Macaca mulatta: one gene and its partner. The protein of the gene in region 2 binds, or shares a complex with, the protein of the main gene of each other region. Links are inferred from orthologs where the notes say so. Each region holds a gene or a part of one and is shown on either strand. Other genes may lie near its edges.

What was found.
Region 1: CACNB2 (region 2) and CACNG1 share a complex: the UniProt entries of both Homo sapiens proteins name them as parts of the calcium channel complex. The link is inferred for Macaca mulatta from reciprocal best matches to the Homo sapiens genes CACNB2 and CACNG1.

The regions. Positions count from the first base shown.
Region 1 is NC_133421.1:76,805,416-76,816,177, forward strand, and holds the end of CACNG1 (voltage-dependent calcium channel gamma-1 subunit), read left to right. Parts: intron 1-859; coding exon 860-934; intron 935-3,577; coding exon 3,578-3,715; intron 3,716-4,521; coding exon 4,522-4,748; 3' UTR 4,749-5,278; downstream 5,279-10,762. UniProt on the Homo sapiens protein: Regulatory subunit of the voltage-gated calcium channel that gives rise to L-type calcium currents in skeletal muscle. Regulates channel inactivation kinetics.
Region 2 is NC_133414.1:20,060,854-20,072,945, reverse strand, and holds part of CACNB2 (voltage-dependent L-type calcium channel subunit beta-2), read right to left. Parts: intron 7,267-12,092; coding exon 7,144-7,266; intron 4,879-7,143; coding exon 4,742-4,878; intron 1-4,741. UniProt on the Homo sapiens protein: Beta subunit of voltage-dependent calcium channels which contributes to the function of the calcium channel by increasing peak calcium current. Plays a role in shifting voltage dependencies of activation and inactivation of the channel.

The DNA of each region.
Region 1 (10,762 bases), on a different chromosome or scaffold from region 2:
GCGGCTTTGTGGGGCAGGTCTCATCTGGGCTGTCTCACAGAGACCAGCGACCCAGTGAAACCACATGATGGTCACATTCAGCCCTCGTAGGGGTTCCATCTGCGTCCAGGCCATCCCAATGGCCACTCGGAAAAAGCCCTTTGCGGGGCATTTTAAGGAGCCTGGAGCAGGGTTCCCATCCCGGCTGCACATCAGGATCTCCCAGAAAGCTTTTGAAAAACACTGCTTCCCAGGTCCCACCAGTGAACCAGGGTGGGCCTGGATTCTGATGAGAAACAGTCCCAGATTTGGGGTTGGTCCAGGGTTTCTCAACCTTGGCACTCTTGACATTTTGGCCTGGATCATTCCATGTTGGGAGGGCCTGTCCTGCGTGTTGCAGGATGCTCAGCAGCGTCTGTGGCCTCTACCGGCTAGGTGCCAGGTGTACCCCTCTCACCACCACCATGTCCCCAGGCATTGCCCAGTGTCCCCTGGGGGGGCAGAATCGGTCCTCACGGAGACTGCTGTTTGGTTCTTTAGTGATTGTGCACCCTGCACACCCTGAAAAATGGCTTAAGCCTGGGCCTCGGTTACCCCGTCTGCCTAATGGGGTGCAGAACCCATGGGCCATCTGCCCTGTGGACTCATCCAGCCTCAGCTCCCTGAAGACCTCTCAGCCTTCCAGGCAACCTCATTATTCCACTGAGATGTTGTTCTAAGGGTCAAAGACAGACGTTTCAGCCCAGATTAAGGATCTGGGGAGAAGAGAGCCTGCCAGAGCCCCTGCGTGCCCAGCAGAATGACACCGCACTCTCTGCCAGGCCTCTGTCCTTGCTACAGGTCCCTCCCCTCAACTCACAGTGTGTCTCCTCCTTTGCAGAGAAGAACTGTTCCTACTTCAGGCATTTTAACCCCGGCGAGAGCTCAGAGATCTTCGAATTCACTACTCAGAAGGGTGAGCCTGGGTGGAAAGGGGGCTGGGGTGACAAGAGGGGACTTCTGTGTCATGCATCACTGGGCCAGAAAGCCATTGGGGGCAAAAGCACTGACTTCCTCAGGCCTGATGAGAAGAAGCCCATGGTGCATTTGAACAACAGCCTTGTCACCTCTCTGCTCCGGAGGCCCCAGGTAGCCGCCTTCCATCTCCAGGGCCCAGAGCTTCCACACCTCGGGGCCAGGGAGCGTTTGCAGAAGCAGCACTTCCTGGCAAGCTCCTACCCAAGGGCAGCTGTTGTGATGGGAGCTGTGGATGTGGAACAAGTGCTCGGAGGCCCTGTGGTGGCTCTTGGTGGGATGTGATGGTTAGAGTCTTCAGGGACAGTCTGAGTCCCTCCCTGGCCTAGAAATCCCTCCCCAAGTACCGAGAGGGCGCAGTGGGCTCTGGAGCTTTTCAGGACCCACAGAGCTCAGACGCACACCCACTGTCGGGACACACACCTGTGCCTGCCCGCGCCTAGACAGCTGCACACAGGGTGAGTGGGTACACACACAGACGCACACTGACACACACAGACACACAACACAGATACACACATACAATGACACACACAAGACACAGACACACAGACACACACTGACACACACAGACACACAACACAGATACACACATACAATGACACACACAAGACACAGACACACACTGACAGACACACGCAACACAGATACACACATACAATGACACACACAAGACACAGACACACAGACACACACTGACACACAGACACACGCAACACAGATACACACATACAATGACACACACAAGACACAGACACACAGACACACACTGACACACAGACACACGCAACACAGATACACACATACAATGACACACACAAGACACAGAGACACTGACACACACTGACACACACAACACAGATACACACATACAATGACACACACAAGACACAGACACACACACACTGACACACGTACAATGACACACACACAGTGACACACACAGACACACACAACACAGATACACACATACAATGACACACACAAGACACAGACACACAGACACACACACTGACACATGTACAATGACACACACACAGTGACACACAGGCAATGACACACAGACATACAATGACACAAGGCAATGACACACACAATGACACACACGATGATACACAAGACAATGACACACAAGGCACACACACAGAGACACACTGACACACATGTACAATAACACACAAAATGACACACATGACATACTGACACAATTACACACACAGTTACACACACAAGACACAGGCACACACAGAAACACACACTGAGACACATATACAATGACACACACAATTACACACAATGACACACAAAATGACACAATGACACACATGACACCACACAATGACACACAATGACGCACACACCACACAATGACACACAATGACACACACAAGACACAGTGACACACACAAGACAATGACACACACAATGACACACAAGACACATAGACACAGACACACACACATGTACAATGACACCCACACAATGAGACCCACACAAGACACACAGAAACACATACTGACACAATGACACAAGATACACACAGAGACACACACTGACACACGTACCATGACATACACACAATGACACACACAAGACACACAGAGACACACTGACACACATGTACAATGACATGCACACGACATGCAGTGACACACAATGACACACACAAGACACAGTGACACACACAAGACTGACACAATGACACACAAGACAGACACACAGAGACACACACACGTACAATGACACCCACACAATGACACCCACACAAGACACACAGAAACACATACTGACACAATGACACAACACAATGACACAAGACACACACAGAGACACACACTGACACATGTACCATGACATACACACAATGACACACACACAAGACAGAGACACACTGACACACATGTACATTGACATGCACATGACATGCAGTGACACACAATGACACACGAGACACAATGACACAAGACACAGTGACACACAGGCAATGACACAGACACTAACATGCACAGATACATGTACACACCAGCACATGCAGACACACATACACACAGTGACACACCAACACACTGACAGACCCAGATACACATGCACACACTACCATACGCAGACACTAAACACATTCTGACAGATCCTCACATATGTGACACATACATGAACACACACACTAACCACACACAGACACGCACACTGCCACACACACTGGCAGAGCCTCACGTGCACCGGGCTGCGTGACAAGCCACCCTGTGGTCCTTTGCTCCTTAACCCCAGGCAGACCACCCGCCACCCCAGTGCCTCCTGCCCTGTCACTCGAGGAAAGTTTCTGCTCTGGAAAGGCCTCCAGCCACTTGCCTCTCGCCTCTGCCCCCGGTGGGGACCTTGCAGCCTGATGCTCTGGGAAGACATGGGTAGAAGAAGCCCCATGGCAGCCTGGCTCTGCGTGGGCCTTAGGGAAGGACTTGGCCCCTGGGGCTGTCGGCTTTCTCGTGTGTGAGATGGGAATTGTGGTGCATGGGGTGGTCCCTAACCAGCCACCATGAGAGCTCCTGGACTGAGGCCGCATGCCGGGTGTCCCTTGTGTTTGCAGAGTACAGCATCTCGGCAGCCGCCATCGCCATCTTCAGCCTTGGCTTCGTCATCCTGGGCAGCCTCTGTGTCCTCCTGTCCTTTGGGAAGAAGAGGGACTACCTGCTGCGGCCCGCGTCCATGTTCTACGCTTTTGCAGGTAGACTGGGGGCTCCGCCCGAGCACCGGACTGGGGGGACCATGTCGTGGGGGATTCTCCGCTCCACTCTCATGCCCACCGTGGGATTTGGGTAGGGGGCATTTCCCAGGCTCCATCCCCATCCAGGGGCAAACCTGGCCAAGCCCTCAGCGACCCCAGGTGGGCTGGAGGGAGACAGAGCTTGGCGGTCTGTCCATTCCTCCCCATGATTCAACCCTCAAGGCCCCAAAGAAACTGCCCAGAGAATGATTAACAGAAGAAGGAAAGAAACGTGGTCGCCTTTCTTTCTTTTTCTTGGGGGATGAGGAAGAGGGTCTCGCTCTGTCGCCCAGGCTGGAGTGCAGTGGAACGATCACAGCTCACTGCAGCCTCGAACTCCTGAGTTGAAGGGTTCCTCCCGCCTCAGCCTCCTGAGTACCTGGGACTACAGACGTGCACCACCACACCTGGCTAAGTTTTTATTACATTTTAATTTTTTGTAGAGACAGAGGGCTCATCACTATGTTGCCCAGGCTAGTCTCAAACTCCTGGCCTCAAGCGATCCTCCTGCCTCAGCCTCCCAAAGTGCTGGGATTACAGGCATGAGCCACCGTACCCGGCCATGTGGTCGTCCTTCTAAGGGATGCAGGAATAGGGTGGTGCGTGGACAAATGGATCCTTCTGCAGGCTCCCAGCTAGAACCTGCCTTGAGGCAGCTTTTCCCCCAAGGCAAGGTCACTGCCTCCTCCATGCACACAGGCTGGGGTGGGGCTGGGGGTAACGGCAGGCACCCGTCGGTCCCTGAGCGTACCTGGCTCCGCCCCCAGGTCTCTGCATCCTGGTCTCGGTAGAGGTCATGCGGCAGTCGGTGAAGCGCATGATTGACAGTGAGGACACCGTCTGGATCGAGTACTATTACTCCTGGTCCTTCGCCTGCGCCTGTGCTGCCTTCGTCCTCCTCTTCCTCAGTGGTCTCGCCCTCCTGCTGTTCTCCCTGCCTCGAATGCCCCGGAACCCATGGGAGTCCTGCATGGATGCTGAGCCTGAGCACTAGCCCTCCTGTGGCCCTAGCGACCCTCAGGCTTCTTCTCCAGGAAGCCATGTCTCAGCCCGGAACCTTCCAGAGGGGAGGCGGGAGCAATTTTAGCTCCACCCTGCTCCCATCTGCCCCCTGCCACAGTCGCAGGCTGCTTCCTCTCTCTGAGCTCCTCTGGGCTGCCGCAGGCTCCCCTGGGAATAGAGCAAGAGGATGTCAGTCTCAATCTGGCCACAGTTGGGAAAGGCAGGGCCAGCAGGTGGACAGGTGTTTGCAAGGGCCCCACTTCCCCTGGAGCTCAGAGGTGTCCCCACTGTACCAGCCTCTGATAAGCTGCCTCCGGTTGTCCTTTATGAACATTGCAGGGACAACCTGTGTTTGCCAGTTCTTGGTGTTCTGTGTAAATAGCCAGCCCCTCCCTTTCTCAGTGATAAAACACACCCTCTCTGGTGAGCGCAGCGTCCCCTCCTTGGCTTCCAGGAGCCCTGGGAAGCATTTTTAACTGAGTAGAATCTGTCTGTGGCTTGAAATAAAAAGCTCTCAGAAAACTCACGTTTTCTTCACACCTTGCATAGAAATTGCTCAGATTCCTGGTCACATCAGGGGCCCCCTGACGCGGAATGAGAAGGGAAGGCAGGTCACCCGGGTACGTTGAGGACTTTTGTGGGGACAAGAGGGCAACACACGTGGCTTAGAGGCTCTGAATTCCAACTCAGACAGGGTTTCTCTAGGCCCTGAGATTGTTTTCGGGAGAAACTAGAAACCTTCTGATGAAGCAAGGGTGTTAAAAATAGGAGGGGTTATTTCTAGAGCCTGGCATGCAACGCACCTGGTGCCAACGCAGCGCTAAAGCAGCCAGCCAGTGTCTGATTTCTGATGCTGGATTTCTGTTGTGAAGAACATCAGGAAGCAGGGCTTAGCAGTTAGATGCTTAGGGCCACATGAAAAGCCATGATTTGCACACTTCTGCCTTCCAGAGCCCCACAGTACTTGCCCAAGCTTCCGAAGTGGAGTTCAGACATGATTGGCAGATGGGATCTTTGCCTTGCACCCTGGAGAACCCACTGGAGTTCATGCTCCTAGGGCAAGGTTTGGCAAACTGTGGCCTGTTGGCCACACCTGGCCTGCCCCCTCTTGCTGTATGGCCCACAAGTAAAAGGTAGTTTTTACAGTTTTAAATTGTTCAAAACATTAAATTAAAAAAAAAAAAAAAGCCAGGCTCAGTGGCTCACACCTGTAAATCCCAACACTTTGGGAGGCCAAGGTGGGTGGATCACGAGGTCAGGAGTTCAAGACCAGCCTGGCCAAGATGATGAAACCCCATCTCTATTAAAAACACAAAAAATTAGCCAGGCGTGGTGGTGTGCACCTGTAATCCCAGCTACTCAGCAGGCTGAGGCAGGAGAATCGCTTGAACCCGGGGGGGCGGAGGTTGCAGTGAGCCAAGATTACGCCATTGCACTCCAGCCTGGGCAACAGAGTGAGACTCCATCTCAAAACATTAAAAAAAAAAAACCCAAAACAATCAAGGAACTGGGCATCGTGGCTCACACCTATAATCTCAGTACTTTGGAAGGCTGAGGCAAGAGGACTGTTTGAGTCCAGGAGTTTGAGACCACACTGGGCAACATAGCAAGACTCCATCTCTACAAAAAATAAAAATAAAATAATTTAAAGATAAAAAGAAGAAGAATCTCTCATGACATATGAAGATGATACGAAATTCACATCTCAATGTCTGTAAATAAAGTTAGATTAGAACCCAGCCACACCCATTCTGTGGCTGCTTTCGTCACCATTGAGTAGTTTCAACAGAGATCTTCTGTCCTGCAATGCTGAAAATATTTACTATCTGACCCTGTATAAAAACGTGTGTTTACCCTTGTTCTGGAGAAAAACTGTACAAACATCAGCCCACATATCAACCCCTTACTAGTCCCATCTGAAAGCTGAGGGGAAGTTCATTCTTTCAATTTGCCTGCGGTACCTCGGGGGTGGGGGGCTGGGCTAGGAGGGGTGTCAGAGGAGACTCACTCAAAGATGCAAAGATCCAGCCAGGAAATAAACTTGCTCGAGGTAAAGGAGAATCAGAAGATGACAGTCCCGGCCAGCCAGGGAGCTGAGGCCACAATTTATGAGTAAGAAGGAAGAGAGATAACTTCCTCCCATTGATAACCATTCTGGAGGTTGATATTATCGGGTTTTTTCTTTTTTGAGACAGGGTCTCACTCTGGAGTACAGTGCCCAGGCTGGAGTACAGTGGCACAATCACAGCTCACTGTAGCCTCGAGTTCCTAGGCTCAAGTGATCCTCCTACCTCAGCCTCTCAAGTAGTGGGGACTGCAGGCGTGCGCCACCACACCCAGCTAATTTTTTTCATTTTTTGTTGAGACGGGGTTTCAATATGTTGCCCAGGCTGGTCTCTAACTCCTCAGCTCAAGCAATCCACTAGCCTTGGCCTCCCAAAGTGCTGACATTACAGGCATGAGGCCACCACACCCAGCCTGCTTTTTTTTTTTTTTTTTCTAACAGATTGGAGTCTTGCTACACTGCCCAGGCTGGCCTCAAACTTCTGGGCTCCAGCAGTCCTCCTGCTTCAGTCTCTGGAGTAGCTGGGATTACAGGTGTGAGCCACTATGCCTGGCTCCCATATTATTGTTTTATTACTCTTTTTACTTTTAGCAGAATCAGACTGGCGTGCCTTTTTTCTTTTCTTTTCTTTTCAGTTCTCTTTTTTCTCTTCTCTTTTCTCTTCTCTATTTTCTCTCTCTTCTCCCTTCTCTTCTCTTCTCTTCTCTTCTCTTCTCTTTTCTTTTCGATGGAGTCTTGCTCTGTCACCCAGGCTGGAGTGCAGTGGTGCGATCTCAGCTCACCGCAACCTCCACCTCCCAGGTTCAAGCCATGCTCCTGCCTTAGCCTCCCAAGTAGCTGGGATTACAGGTGCCTGACACCACACCCAGCTAATTTTTGTATTTTTGGTAGAGACGGGGTTTCACCATGTTGGCCAGGATGGTCTCAAACTCCTGACCTCAGGTGATCTACCCACCTCGGCCTCCCAGAGTGGTGGGATTACAGGTGTGAGCCACCGTGCCCAGGGCCTTGGCATGCGTTTTCTACTTCCTCATGGGTGCCTATGGGTTGGTGCCCCCAAAAGACATCTGAATGGAATATCCACCAAACAGAATACATTCGGCTTCCCAGGCTTTTAACTCTTTTAAGATATACTTCAGCACAGCCAGAACTGCAATGCAAACCAAAGGGTTGGAGGCTGTCTGCCAGAGAGCCACACATCCTGGCATCTGCCCCAGAAAGAGGCAATGGAGCAAAGCAAAATAGAGTCAACCAAACCAATGAGGGAAAACGTCTTACTCCCCACCTGCCAAATGCTGCTTGCCAGAAGGATGTCCAGAGGGGAAAATGGTCGGCTTTGGCAGGGACTGAAGGCCTCACTTCAGGGTCCGTGCAGGTCCTGCTCTGAAGGCCACCCACAGCCCAACCACAGAACAACAGTGCCATCTGCCCTGAAGCCTATGGTTGGCCTCAGAAGCCCATGGCTTCTCACTCCTTGCTTGGAACTGCGTGACTGACTCTCTCTTTCTTTCTTTCTTTCTTTCTTTCTTTCTTTCTTTCTTTCTTTCTGTCTGTCTGTCTGTCTGTCTGTCTGTCTGTCTGTCTTTCTTTCTTTTCTTTCTTTCTGTCTTTCTTTCTTTCTCTTTCTTTCCTTCCTTCCTTCCTTCCTTTCTTTCTTTCTTTCTTTCCTTCCTTCCTTCCTTCCTTCCTTCCTTCCTCCTTTCCTTTCCTTTCCTTCCTTCCCTCCCTCCCTCCTACCCTCCCTCCTTCCTTCCTTCCTTCTTTCCTTCTTTCCTTCCTTCCTTCCTTCCTTCCTTCCTTCCTTCCTTCCTTCCTTCCTTCCTTCCTTCCTTCCCTCTCTCTCTCTCTTTCTTTCTTCTCTTTTTTTTTGATGGAGTCTCGCTCTGTCGCCCAGGCTGGAGTGCAGTGGCACAATCTCAGCTCACTGCAAACTCCGCCTCCCCGATTCAATTGATTCTCCTGCCTCAGCCTCCTGAGCAGCTGGGATTACAGGCACCTGCCACCACGCCAGGCTAATGTTTTTACTTTTAGTAGAGACGGGGTTTCGCCATGTTGGCCAGGCTGGTCTCGAACTCCGGACCTCGGGTGATCCGCCCACCTCATCTCCTGGAATTGCGTGACTTTGACACCCAGCACAACTTGATGTCCTGTCACACTTGCAATTTCTCAGCATTTTTTGTTTATCTATTTATTTTATTATTATTATTTTTGAGACAGAGGCTTACTCACCATCCAGGCTGGAATGCAGTGGAGGGATCTCAGCTCACTGCAGCCTTGACCTCCTGGGTTCAAGTGATCCTCCCGTCTCAGCCTCCCGAGTAGCTGGGACCACAGGCACACGCCACCACACCTGGTTAATTTCTGTATTTTTTTTTTTTTTTTTTTTTAGAGACAGGGTTTCGCCATGTTGCCCAGGCTTTCTCGGCTTTTTTACATCCATCATCTTCCCTGAGGCAAAGAAGGCAGCAGAGGCAGGACCAGCAACTAGTTCATCAAGATCCAGACTTAAGTGCGATTTTTTAAGAACTGTGGTAAAATATACATAATGTAAAATTACCATCTTAATCACGTTTACGTGTAGAGTTCAGTAGCATTAAATACACTCACATTGTGCAACTCTGACCACCGTGCATCTCCAGAACGCTTCGTCATCCCAAGCTGAAACTCACAAGCACTTACTCCACGTCCTCTCCTTCCCACAGCCACCCTTCCACTTTCTGTCTCTGGGAGTTTGACTCCTCTAGGTACCTCAGATCAGTGGAATCACGGAGTATTGATCTTTTTGTGACTGGTTCATTTCCCTCGGCTGCTGATGCCTTTAAGGTTCATTCACACGGTACCAGGTATCAGAACTCTCTTCCTTTTTCAGGCTCAGCAATATCCCACTCTACGTAGTCCCATATTTTGTTTATCCACTCGTCCATTGATGGACGCTGGGTTGTTTCCAACTCTTGGCTCTTGTGACTTACTGCTGCTATCAACATGGCTTCACACTCTGCTTCAGTCCCTGCTTTCGGTTGTTTTGGATATACTGACTGGGACTTTTTTTAAAATTAAAATTAATGCAAAATCACCACAACACAATATCGAAACTATTAGGTCGGTGCAAATGCAATTGCAGTTTTTGCCATTGAAAGGAATGGCAAAAACTGGCCAGGAGCGGTGGCTCACGCCTGTAATCCCAGCACTTTGGGAGGCCGAGGCGGACGGATCACCTGAGGTCCGGAGTTTAAGACGAGCTTGGCCAACATGGTGAAATCCTGTCTCTACTAAAAATACACACACAAAAAAAAGTTAGCCAGGCGAGGTGGTGGGCACCTGTAATCCCAGCTACTTGGGAGGCCGAGGCAGGAGACTCACTGGAACCTGTGAGGTGGAGGTTGCAATGAGCCAAGATCCTGCCACTGCATTCCAGCCTGGGTGACAGAGCAAGACTCTGTCTCAAAAAAAATGGCAGCCGGGTGCAGTGGCTCACGCCTGTAATCCCAGCACTTTGGGAGGCCGAGGTGGGCGGATCACGAGGTCAGGAGATCGAGACCATCCTGGCTAACACGGTGAAACCCCGTCTCTACTAAAAATACAAAAAATTAGCCGGGCGTGGTGGCAGGTGCCTGTATTCCCAGCTACTCAGGAGGCTGAGGCAGGAGAATAGCGTGATCCCGGGAGGTGGAGGTTGCAGTGAGTCGAGATCCTGCCACTGCACTCCAGCCTGGGCAACAGAGCGAGACTCTGTCTCAAAAAAAAAAAAAAAAAAAAAATAGTAATGGCAAAAACTGCAATTATGTTTGCACCAACCTAAATTAGAACCAAGGCTGCTGGTTTCCCACCAGTCTGATGAGAGCCCTTCCCAATCCTCACTTGGCCTCTGCCCAGGTTCCTGGGAGAACCAAGAGATGGCTCCCTCTCTCTCTGGCCAGCACATGGTAGGACCTGCTCCAGTG
Region 2 (12,092 bases):
TTGATGTAAGATAAACTTCAGTGTCTCAGAAACATTGGAGTTAATATTAGAACAACAGCATTTGTGTTTTTCACCAGCATACTGGCATGCTAAATAACATGTTACTGAATGACCCCTCTCTCAGATGAAGATGAGAAGAACATTTTAAATTTGGGCAAAATGATCTCACTGCCTAATGTTTATTATTATGGCCAAGCCAGGGTCTAGTTGAAAGAATTTGCTACAGCGTTTATGCATCAAAGGGCAATATTTGCTTATGTAAATATTAATATGAAAATAAAAGTTTTATTAAAGTATCAGTAACAGGCTGAATGTTATTGCTACTGTTCTAGCATTTTTATGCATAAACATCAAAAACTATTAGGCAATTAGCAAGAGGGCTCTATATCTGTTTAAGGTTAAGAGATACTCAAATACATTTAGTAAGGGCATCAGACAGTATGTGAAATTAATGACAAGTGATATTTATAAAAGCAGTTTCTGGCAGTTATACAAGGACCTATTACCAAGACCAAAACATTTTTTTCCCCCTAAAGTATTAAGTCTAATTTCAGTTCAAGTTCATGGGTTTTATATTTCCTTTGAATTTTAGTAACAGCCAAATATTATTTGAGTTATATAAAATTGTGACAAATACTGCAAACGGTGACCATGGCTAGGATGCAGATTTGTCCTTGACTTTTAATTCTATTAAAATGCCAAGTTCTTGAATTGTACCCCAATTCCATTTCCATTGAGTTCTGTCAATTTTTATAATTTCTGTATCAGAGTTTTTAAAGACTGCCAGATTCTGGTTATGTCCTCAAAACAAAACTGCATTTAAAATGTTAAGAGGCCGGCACAGTGGCTCACGCCTGTAATCCCAACACTCTGGGAGGCCAAGGTGGGTGGATCACCTGAGGTCGGGAGTTTGAGACCAGCCTGGCCAACACAGTGAAACCCTGTATCTACTAAAAATACAAAAATGAGCTGGGCGTGGTGGCGCGTGCCTGGAGTCCCAGCTACAGAGAGAGAGGCAGGAGAGAGACTGAGGCAGGAGAATCACTTGAACCCGGGAGTGGAGGTTGCAGTGAGCCCAGATTGTGCCACTACACTCAAGCCTGGGCACAGAGCGAGACAAGGGAAAAAAAAAAAAAAAAAAAAAAGAAGAGAAATGTAAAAACCTGTGAAAGCAAGTAAAAGTATTTTCATATACTTAGGCAAAATCTTGAGACAAAATAAAATGAAGAAAATCAAAGAAAAAGATATATGGCTGTAAGAAAAGGTAACCTAGTTCTCTGGAGTAAGTTCTGAGGTGTTACATTTCCCCAAATACGGATAACTCAGAATCCTAAGGAAAAAAATGCAAGAGCAAAACAACATATCTAATAAAGTAAATAGTAACAGATGGCAATAACCATTTGTCCTGGGCTTGCTGTGCCTGGCAAGACCTGGCTCCTTAATTTGCAGTACAGCATGGAGGTCTGTACAGCATGGAGGTCAGGTTGCCATCTTGGTTCTGACGCTTACTAGCTCTGCGACCTTGGTCAAGTTCTCTAACTTCTCTTAACCTGTTTTCTCATCTGTGACCTGTAAGATCTAATACCCACTGCTCCCACAGGTCCTTATAAAGAGGAGTGGAGCACTAATGTTAGCCTAGGGAAGCCCATTTGGGAGACACAGGAGACTACATTTCTCTGACAATTTTGGGAAAAATTTCTACTCCCTTTGAAGTTGTTCTTATTTCTTAGTTTCTGTATGAAGAGGCAGAAAAAGACACAAGCCTGCCTCTGCAAAAATCCATCCCAAATTTTCCAAAATGCATTCTACAAAACACTCTTCCTAAGACATCAACCAGAGTTTTGATGAGAAAGTAATTTTAGTAAATACTTAAAAAAATTCCCATTCCACCAGAGATTCACGGTGTCCATGATCACATTAAAAGGCTCTGAAAAATCCTAAAGTAACTTTCTATTACCTAGAACTATCCTAAATTTATTTTATCTTGGAACCCCTTTCTCAAGTGATTTGACAAGAAAATTCTGAAAAATGCTGAATTGTCCTAACTAAAAACAAAACATCCCCCAGCTGGGATAACTTCAAACCTCAACAAACTATATACTACCTAGTTGATAAGAGCAATGTCTACACCCTATTACAACAACATTTTTCCATATAAGGTGGCTTTTGTTTGTTTGTTTTTTCAGACGGAGTTTCACTGTCGCCCAGGTTGGAACATGATCTCGGCTCACTGCAACCTCCGCCTTCCAAGTTCAAGTGATTTTCATACCTCAGGCTCCTGAGTAGCTGGGATTACAGGTATGCACCACCACGCCCAGCTACTTTTGTATTTTTAGTAGAGACGGGGTTTCACCATGTTGGCCAGGCTGATCTCAAACTCCTGGCCTCAAGTGATCCACCTGCTTTGGCCTCCCAAAGTGCTGGGATTACAGGCATGAGCCACCGCGCCTGGCCATAAGGTTTTGTTAACTAGTATTATGATACCATTTTCAATACAGAGGGTAGGAAAACACAAAATAAGGTCAATGGAACATTAAGAATTGAAAGAATACTATCAGGTCTTCGAACACCCTGCAGGCAAAATGCAGATACGTTATTTATCTACATGCCTCTACTTTTTTTCTCATTAAGAAATGCATTTTCAACAAAAATTTAATATTTAATATTGCATATAAAATATGCATTATATATATGTTGGCCTAATGAATAATTTACTGCTGCTAATGATAATAATGGTACATGTCCAGGTTTGTTACACAGGTAAATTGCATGTCTCAGGGATTTGGTGTACAAATTATTTTGTCACCCAGATAATGAACATAACACACCAGGAGGTGGTTTTTCTGATCCTCACCCTCCCCCGATCCTCCACCCTCAAGTAGTACCCAGTATCCAGTGTTCCCTTCCTGGTGTCCGTATGTTCTCAATGTTTAGTTCTCACTTACAAGTGAGAACATGCAGTATTTGTTTTTCTTTGTTTGTTTGTTTTTGTTTTTTTGAGATGGAGCCTCACTCTGTCGCCAGGCGGGAGTGCAGTGGCGCGATCTTGGCTCACTTCAACCTCCGCCTCCAGGGTTCAAGCGATTCTCCTGCCTCAACTTCTCAAGTAGCTGGGACTACAGGCACATGCCACCATGCCCAGCTAATTTTTGTATTTTTTTTTTTTTAAGTAGAGATGGGGTTTCACCATGTTGCCCAGGATGGTCTAAATTTCTTAACCTTGTGATTCGCCCGCCTCAGCCTCCCAAAGTGCTGGGATTACAGGTGTGAGCCACTGCGCCCGGTCCCCGTATTTGGTTTTCTATTCCTGTGTTAGTTCGCTTGGGATAATGGCCTCCAGCTCCATCCAGGTTGCTGCAAAGGACATGATCTTATTTTTTTTTTTTTTTTTTTTTGAGATGGAGTCTCACTCAGTCACCCAGGCTAGAGTGCAGTGGCACGATCTGGGCTCACTGCAACCTCTACCTCCCGGATTCAAGTAATTCTCCTGCGTAGCTGGGATTACAGGTGCCCAACACCACACCTGGCCAATTTTTGTATTTTTAGTAAAGATGGGGTTTCAACATGTTGGCCAGGGTGGTCTTGAACTCCTGACCTCAGGTGATCCGTCTGCCTCAGCTTCCCAAAGTTCTGGGATTACAGGCATGAGCCACTGCACCCAGCCAATCTTGTTCTTTTTTATGCACGCCTCTACTTTTATCTGACTGAATGCATCTCACCATCTGAGCACTCTCAATAACCCAGGAATTAATGAAAGTCAGTTCTGGGGTGGAGGTCTCAAAACACAGAGGAATCCATCTGAACTAAATGAACTTGACAATTATAAAAAGCCAGTTAATGAGGATGGGTATTCCAAACCACAAAGCATATTCTGTTTCACTCATCTGCTGATGCTTGAAAAAAATACTTGCTAACATTAAAGTATTATCACTGACAAAGGGATTTGCATCTTAGATAAACAAATAAGATGTAAGATGGCAAAAACAGAAATCCAGCGATTCACATTTAAGAAAGGCCTTGCCCATGTCCCATCCTTTCACATAGGGAGAGGCATGCTGCATCCCTAGACCCGTCTGCATATGATTCCATGTAAAATTCAGTATGTGTATGAGAAGGCTTTCTAGCGATTCTTTTAGAGAGGGGCAGACAACCTCACGAATCCTAGGAGGGATTATTCAGCCCCAGCTTCTTACATAACTCATCTAATTGCCATCTGCACAGGCAGTTTTAACTTGTTTCATACTTTGCTTCTCTTTAAGTGCTTAACAGTGGGTAGAACTGAAAATTGAGTTTCTCAGGTGAAAATGAAACTAACAGATGACAAGAGCTGCCATTTCCTGATGATGTCTGAGACTGTCATCTCCCAAACATCTCCTAGCCATACCAGGCAGCTACAGACAGTGGGATTAGTCACCAGGGCTATTCTGTGCCAGACTGTTTTTCAGTAAACGATTAAGGTTTCAGAATTTTCTCAGCACTGGAGCCTGGATTTAATACTCTGTGACCTTAGCTCTTTTCATTAATGATAATAATTTGATACTTCCCCAAATAGGATGAAAATCAGGTGGTGGATTGAAGTTTTTTAAATGCAGGAAAATGCAAGATTTGTGATGCTATCAATAAACCATATCACCAGCCTCCTTGTTAATACATAATAAAGGATATAGAATACAGCAGACAACAGTACACAGATAGTGGTATAATCTAAGTTTTATGCAAACACTTGACATCTGTCTCATACCTGGAGTAGAATTTCCCTTGCTTGGCTCTCTGTTCATGCTGCAGCCTCATATTTTCTAGTTTTACTGGGCTTGGAATGAATCCGATTTCACAGCCTTCTTTTACCAGTCTCCCTATCCACCAGTCATTGTTAAATTTCTAAACACAAAATCAAAAGCATTAAAAATCAGTGCACAGAAGGTCAAATCCTTGTTCTTCCACACTATTTTCAGTGGAGAGAAATATGGCAATGACAATGAACTATGCCTCAAATATTATCATTCAAGAAACCCTTTGGCTCATGGGTTTAACATGTAAGAAATGTTTTTAGTGTCCTCAGCAATCTGTCAAAGGCTCTTCGTTCCTTGTCTGTCCTGGTGCTGCCGTAGGACCAGGCTGAATTCCATTGCAGCAGCTGCTGTCACCTTGAGTAGGGATAAGCTCTCTGGGTTCAAAGAATAACAGCCCATCCTACCAAGAGATCTTTAGGAAGTAGTGTTACAGAAATATTCCCCTTATATAATCAGAAGTATTGAGAGAAAGAGATAAATATTGAAGTCTACCTTAAATATTTCATGTCACAGGACAATTTACCTTTGTGCAAACAGTTTTATAATTACACAGTGCGATGTTCACAGATGATTTCTCTACTTGTGTGATGTTGACAATTTATCTCTTGCAGGTGGAATATGTATCTTAAATCTTTATGATCTGCCTTCATTTTCCTTGATGGAATAAATCTGTCCTTGAACACCTCAAAGAAGAATATACATTCTGTTTTTCTCCTTTCCCCTTTCAGCACCAACCATCAAGAAGAGGCCCCGTAATAATCTAACTTCCCGGTGTTAAGTGAGATTCTAGGCACAGCATCACTTCTGATAACTTTTTCTATTGTTCCCACCAAGCCAGTATTTGACATCTCTTTTCAGAGGTTACCAAAATGGTAGGCTCTAAATTCTCTAGGTTGTTTTATTTTTAATCGAGATAGGGTCTTGCTCTGTCGCCCAGGCTGGAATACATTGACATGATCCCAGCTCGCTTCCGTCTTGAACTCCCAGGCTCAATCAATCCACTGGCCTCAGCCTCCTGAGTAGCTGGGACTCCCAGTGTGTGCCACCATGCCCAGCTAATTTTTTTTTTTTTTGTAGAGATGGGGTTTTACCCTGTTGCCCAGGCTGGTCTCAAACTCCTGGGTTCAAGAGATCAGGCTTCCTTGACCTCTCAAAGCGCTTGGATTACAGGCATGAGCCATAGTATCCAGGCTTCTAGGTTCTTTTTTTTTTTTTTTTTTTTTTAGACTGAATCTCACTCTGTCGCCAGGCTGGGGTGCAGCGGCGCGATCTCGGCTCACTGCAACCTCCGACTCCCTGATTCAAGCTATTCTCCTACCTCAGCCTCCCGAGTAGCTGAGATTATAGGCATATACCACTACACCCAGCTAATTTTTGTATTTTTAGTGGAGACAGGGTTTCGCCATGTTGGCCAGGATGGTCTTGGTTTCCTGACCTTGTGATCCGCCCGCCTTGGCCTCCTAAAGTGCTGGGATTACAGGCATGAGCCACTGCGCCCGGCCCTAGGCTCTTTTAATTGGCAGTCATCAACTCCTTTGCTGACAGCCTTTAGTGCAGTGAAGAGATTAAATTTACACATGCTTCCTATAACATATTATACCCTACATGGAAGGGCTCCAAGTATAAATTCCTCCAGGTCCAAGAAAAATCTCAGGATCACACACTGAGAATATTCTACAGGGGAAATTTCTGGTCAGTTAACACAGTGCTCCACAAGGCAGGCATTTGATAAATGTTGACTCCAAGCAAAGCTTAATTAAGGATGAATGTTTCCAGTTTGCAGGTTGTATCATTGCTCACTAAAAGGTGGAGACATTTAGCATGTGGGAAAAGGACTTTTCCTGATACCTCTTTGTTGCCTTACTGGCATCAATGCTTACCATTCTCTCATCCACTGCAGAAATTTAGCATTTAAGGAGGAAAAAGGGCATCAGTAGTTTGAGTTTAGACACTGCCAGCAGAGAGGAGTCACGAATTCTAGATATTATTATTAAACCTTCCCCAGATGGCTAGACTTCAGGCATCAGAAAACTACACCTAGTCAAGGTGAAACATTAAAAGAAGAAGTACAGGGTAAGTATAAAAAAGGATCATCTACTCTAGCAGTTCCCAATTTCTGGGCCACAGAGCCCCAGGGAGCGCTGAAGTTATTGCAAGAGGCCCGTGACTTCTTTCCACTTTAAAAGGTATATTTATATTAGCAGAGGTTGAGAGCCATTGATTTAGTATGTATGTTATACAACTGCAGTGATGTGTGATGCTGCTTCACAGAAATGGCATCTGAATAGGAAATAAGAAATGGTATGTCAAGGTGAAACATCACGCTGATAGAAAATGAAATTATTCTCCTTACTTCCTTAACATGCAGAAAATCTTTTGCTTCGAATGAGATGGCCATGCCAGGCACTGGAACATCATCTTCATGGGCCGCACTGTAGCTGACATTTGTCCGAACCGCAAATGCCACGGGCTTTGTCTAAAGTGGGAACAGAAAGAGGGAAAAAAATAAGAACAAAACAACAGTGTCCCTCCTTCTTCCCCTCAAATACAAAGATACACTGAATAACTGCTGTAATCGATGTTGGTTTCCCCACTGCATTGGTTCTTTATCACAAAACAGTTTGTTCGTATTCACAACACGTGAAATCTCCTAGCTCTGAGCTACGTAGCACCCATTTCTGAACTAGAAAAAGCCATTGTTCTCTTTGAAAGCACTGCAAGTAAAGACGGCGAAGATGAGCCACAGAAATATGTGTTTTCAACATTGGCGCTTGTAGCAACTGTAAATCAGGAAACACAAACGTGAATAAAATGCCCAGTTCTTCGGTTTCAGTGGAAAGGACTTAGTAACTGCCTCACTACCCCAAACATCTACTTTAATTAATTCATCATTAATGACATAATTCCGAAAGGTACAGTCTTTTGAATGAAAAAAGAACCGGGGAATATATGCTATAACTATAGCAGCTCTTACTCATGGCTGCAACGAATTATGAAAGCCATGACCTTTTCTTCTATTATTTCTCCTCCTTGAGTTCGTTCAACTACTAAAGATGATATTAATTAAGCTCTCTTTCCTTCTTTGATGCTTCGAAATTTTACAGATAAAGGGCCGGAAGTGGTGGCTCACTCCTGTAATCCCAGCATTTTGTGAGGCCAAGGCAAGAGGATTGCTTGAGCCTGGGAGTTCAAGATCAGCCTGGGAACACAGCAAGACCTCTTCTCACTAAAAATCAAAAACAAAAATTAGCTAGGTGTGGTGGCAGGCACCTATACGCCCAACAACTTGGGAGGCTAAGGCAAGAGGATCACTTCAGCCCAGGGGGTCTAGGCTGCAGTGAGCTGTGATCACGCGACTGCACTCCAGCCTGGGGGACAAAGTCAGTCCCTGTCTCAAAAAAAAGAAAAAAACAAATCAAACCAAAAGAATTTACAGATAAGCATTTATTCTCTCTTTAGCTAATATCTATTTATCCACAAGGTGGAAAAAACAGGTAAGCTCAGAAATGGTGAAAACTGTATTGTTCTAAGTGGTATTGTATTTCTTTCCCCATTATGGGCAAGTGGATTGCTTCTATATATTTCTTTCTTTCTTTTCTTTTCTTTTTTTTTTTTTTTTTTTGACAGAGTCTCACTGTGTAGCTCAGGCTGCAGTACAGTGGTGCAATCTCAGCTCACTGCAACCTCCTCCTCTGGAGTTCAATTGATTCTCCTGCTTCAGCCTCCCGAGTAGCTGGGATTATAGACGTGAGCTACCGCGCCCAGCTAATTTTTTGTATTTTTAGTAGAGACAGGGTTTCACTGTGTTGGCCAGGCTGGTCTAGAACTCCTGACCTTGGGTGATCTGCCTGCCTCGGCCTCCCAAAGTGCTGGGATTACAGGCATGAGCCACCATGCCCGGCCTCTTCTATATATTTCTTATATACACCATATATACAAAGTAACATAGTTTTTCATGTGATATTCCTTTTAACCTATTTTTTTTTTCTTTTTTTTTTTTTGTGGAGACAGAGTTTCGCTCTTGTTGCCCAGGCTGGAGTGCAATGGTACGATCTCGGCTCATTGCAACCTCCACCTCCTGCGTTCAAGTGATTCTCCTGCCTCAGCCTCCCAAGTTGCTGGGATTACAGGTGCCCGCCACCACGCCCAGCTAATTTTTTGTATTTTTAGTAGAGATGGGGTTTCACCATGTTGGTCAGGCTAGTCTTGAACTCCTGACCTCACGTAATCCGCCTGCCTCGGCCTCCCAAAGTGCTGGGATTACAGGCGTGAGCCACCACACCCGGCTTAACCTATTCTTTAAAAAAAATTATTTCAACCTCTCAGGAGGAGGGAGCAGTTTCTCCCTACTCAATGAGCTTTTTACCTGGACTTGCCAGAGAAGACAAGGAGCTGGAGTAGAGAGAACCCATGTTCATTTCCAAATTTTCCAAAGTTAATTTGTTCTACCTGACTGTTGTCTGGGTTGAAGACTGAGTTAAGGGCCCTAATGTTACTAAGGTCTAGTCACAATTTGCGGATTGGGAAAGGAGGACCAAATTCTGGATACAGGCACAATCGACATGAGGTGAATTTAAATATTTGGAAGCCAGTTCTTGACCTCCACTATAATTTTTTTTTTTTTTTTTTTTTTTTTTGAGACTGAGTCTCACTGCGGCGCCCAAGCGATCTCGGCTCACTGCAAACTCCGCCTCCGAGGTTCACACCATTCTCCTGCCTTAGCCTCGCGAGTAGCTGGGACTACAGGCGCCTGCCACCACATCTGGCTAATTTTTTGTATTTTTAGCAGAGACGGGGTTTCACCATGTTGGCCAGGATGGTCTCGATTTCCTGACCTTGTGATCAGCCTGCCTCGGCCTCCCAAAGTGCTGGGATTACAGGCGTGAGCCACTGTGCCTGGCTGACAGTATGATGTTTCTATTTTTTTCTAGAAATTTTCTTAAATATATGAAGTTTACTTCTAGAACTACAATCATAATATATTGCATTTCATCCAATATTAAACAAAAAAAATGAAAAAACAAAACATATATATTTTTTAAAAAGGCCAGGTGCTGTGGCTCATGCCTGTAAATCCCAATACTTTGGGAGGGCATGGTGGGAGCATCGCTTGGGCCCAGGAGTTTGAGACCAGCCTGGGCAACAAAGTGAGACCTTGTCTCTTACACACTTACACACACACACACACACACACACACACACACACACATACACACATACACACACACACACACACACACATACACACACACACACACACATATACACACACACATACACACACACACACACACACACACACACACACACACACAGTTTTTCAAGTGATATACTTTTAAAAATATATTTTGGCCGGGTGCGGTGGCTCATGCCTATAATCCCAGCACTTTATGGGAGGCCGAGGCAGGAGGATCACCTGAGGTCAGGAGTTCAAGACCAGCCTGAACAACATGGAGAAACCCCATGTCTACTAAAAATACAAAATTAGCCAGGCATGGTGGTGCATGTCTGTAATCCCAGCTACTCAGGAGGCTGATGCAGGAGAATCACTTGAACCTGGGAGGCGAAGGTAGCAGTGAGTCAAGATCGCACCACTGTACTCCAGCCTGGGCAATAAGAGGGAAACTCTGTCTCATAAATAAATAAAATAAAATAAAATAAAATAAAATATATTTTAAAACTACCTTGGCCAGGTGCAGTGGTTCACGCCTATAATCCCAGCACTTTGGGAGGCCAAGGCAGGCGGATCACATGAGGTCAGGAGTTTGAGGCCAGCCTGGCCAATATGGTGAAACCCAGTCTCTACAAAAATAGAAAAATTAGCTGGTCACAGTGGCTCATGCCTGTAATACCAGCTACTCGGGAGGCTGAGGCAGGAGAATCGCTTGAACCCAGGAGGCAGAGGCTACAGTGAACAAAGATCATTGCGCCACTGCACTCCTGCCTGGGTGACAGAGTGAGACTCCATCTCAAAAAAAAAAAAAAAAAAAAAAGATTACCTCAACCATTCACCCTTCTTTGATACTTAGATTCACGACATTATTCAGTATGAAAAATATTCTGCTTTGAAAAATCTTTGTACAAAAGCCTCTATTTAGAATTCTTTCCTTGGGATGGAGTCCCAGAGGTAGCATGTGTCAGACATGAATTATTAAGACTTTTAAAATCGTATTCCAAACTACCATCCAAATGGGCCACATTGTTTTATTCTGCACCCAGCACTAAAGCATGGTGCTCTTTTTAGTGAGATGTAACCTTAAAAATATTTTAAAGTATTTACATTTTATTAAAAAAAAAAAAAACTTTTTAGAGACAGGGTGTTGCCGTGTTACCCAGACTGGTCTCAAACTCCTGGCCTCAAGTAATCCTCCCCCCTCAGCCTCCCAAGGATGTAGTCTTCATCAAACTCAGTTTTACCACTAGAAATACAATTTCCATGAGTAGATCCATCCATTATTCAGAAAAGTTTCTGATCACAAAAGTATAGATTCAAGATTTTTTTAAAAAAAAATAATCCTAGCATGGCCTTTTACTTCTTTCAGATGTTTCTTTTACTCCTTGGAAAAAAACAGAGTTTAAGCATCACACATAGTTTTTCATCAGTGCAAGACAAATTTTTAATGCCTGACTCGACAGAAGACCCCAGAGAAAATCTTATGACTTTTACCAACTTTATATCACTTTTCAATCATCTGAGTATCAGAAAGAGGGGACTGAAAAAGTAAAAAGAAATCAAAATGGTGGTGGAAATTGGTGTATAATTCCAGGGATCATAGGTAATAAGGTTATACTCTTAGATTAAGATGTCAAGTTGGAACATGCCTCCTTTCTTGCCTCATCTCCTGTAACCAATGATGTTACCATTAGATGTGGTTTATATAGAATTAGCTTTACAGAACTAGGAAAGAAGAGCAGCAGATACCTATTCCTCAATATCTTTACTTCAGGAACTGTATTTCTAAAATTAGACTAGAGTACAGTCAAGGAATGCAGGGGACAGACGTAGCCAAGATAAAAGACCCCAGGATGCTAAACCAGAGAGGCCCATGACAATGTCACTTCTGATTCCCTGGTCTCACTTCAGCTTGCAGTGTGTCTACAATGTGGAAGGTATTCTCCATATTAATTTCATTCCTATGGGTTCAAGAATAAGGGATTTTAAGTGGACTTGGATTTGAATGTTGATTCTGCCATTTATTAGGTGAGTGGCCTAGGCAAATTCTTTAGTCTCATTGAGCATATTTTCACATGGCTAAAACTAGGGTAAAAGCACCATTCTTTAAGGTAATGAGAATATAGAAA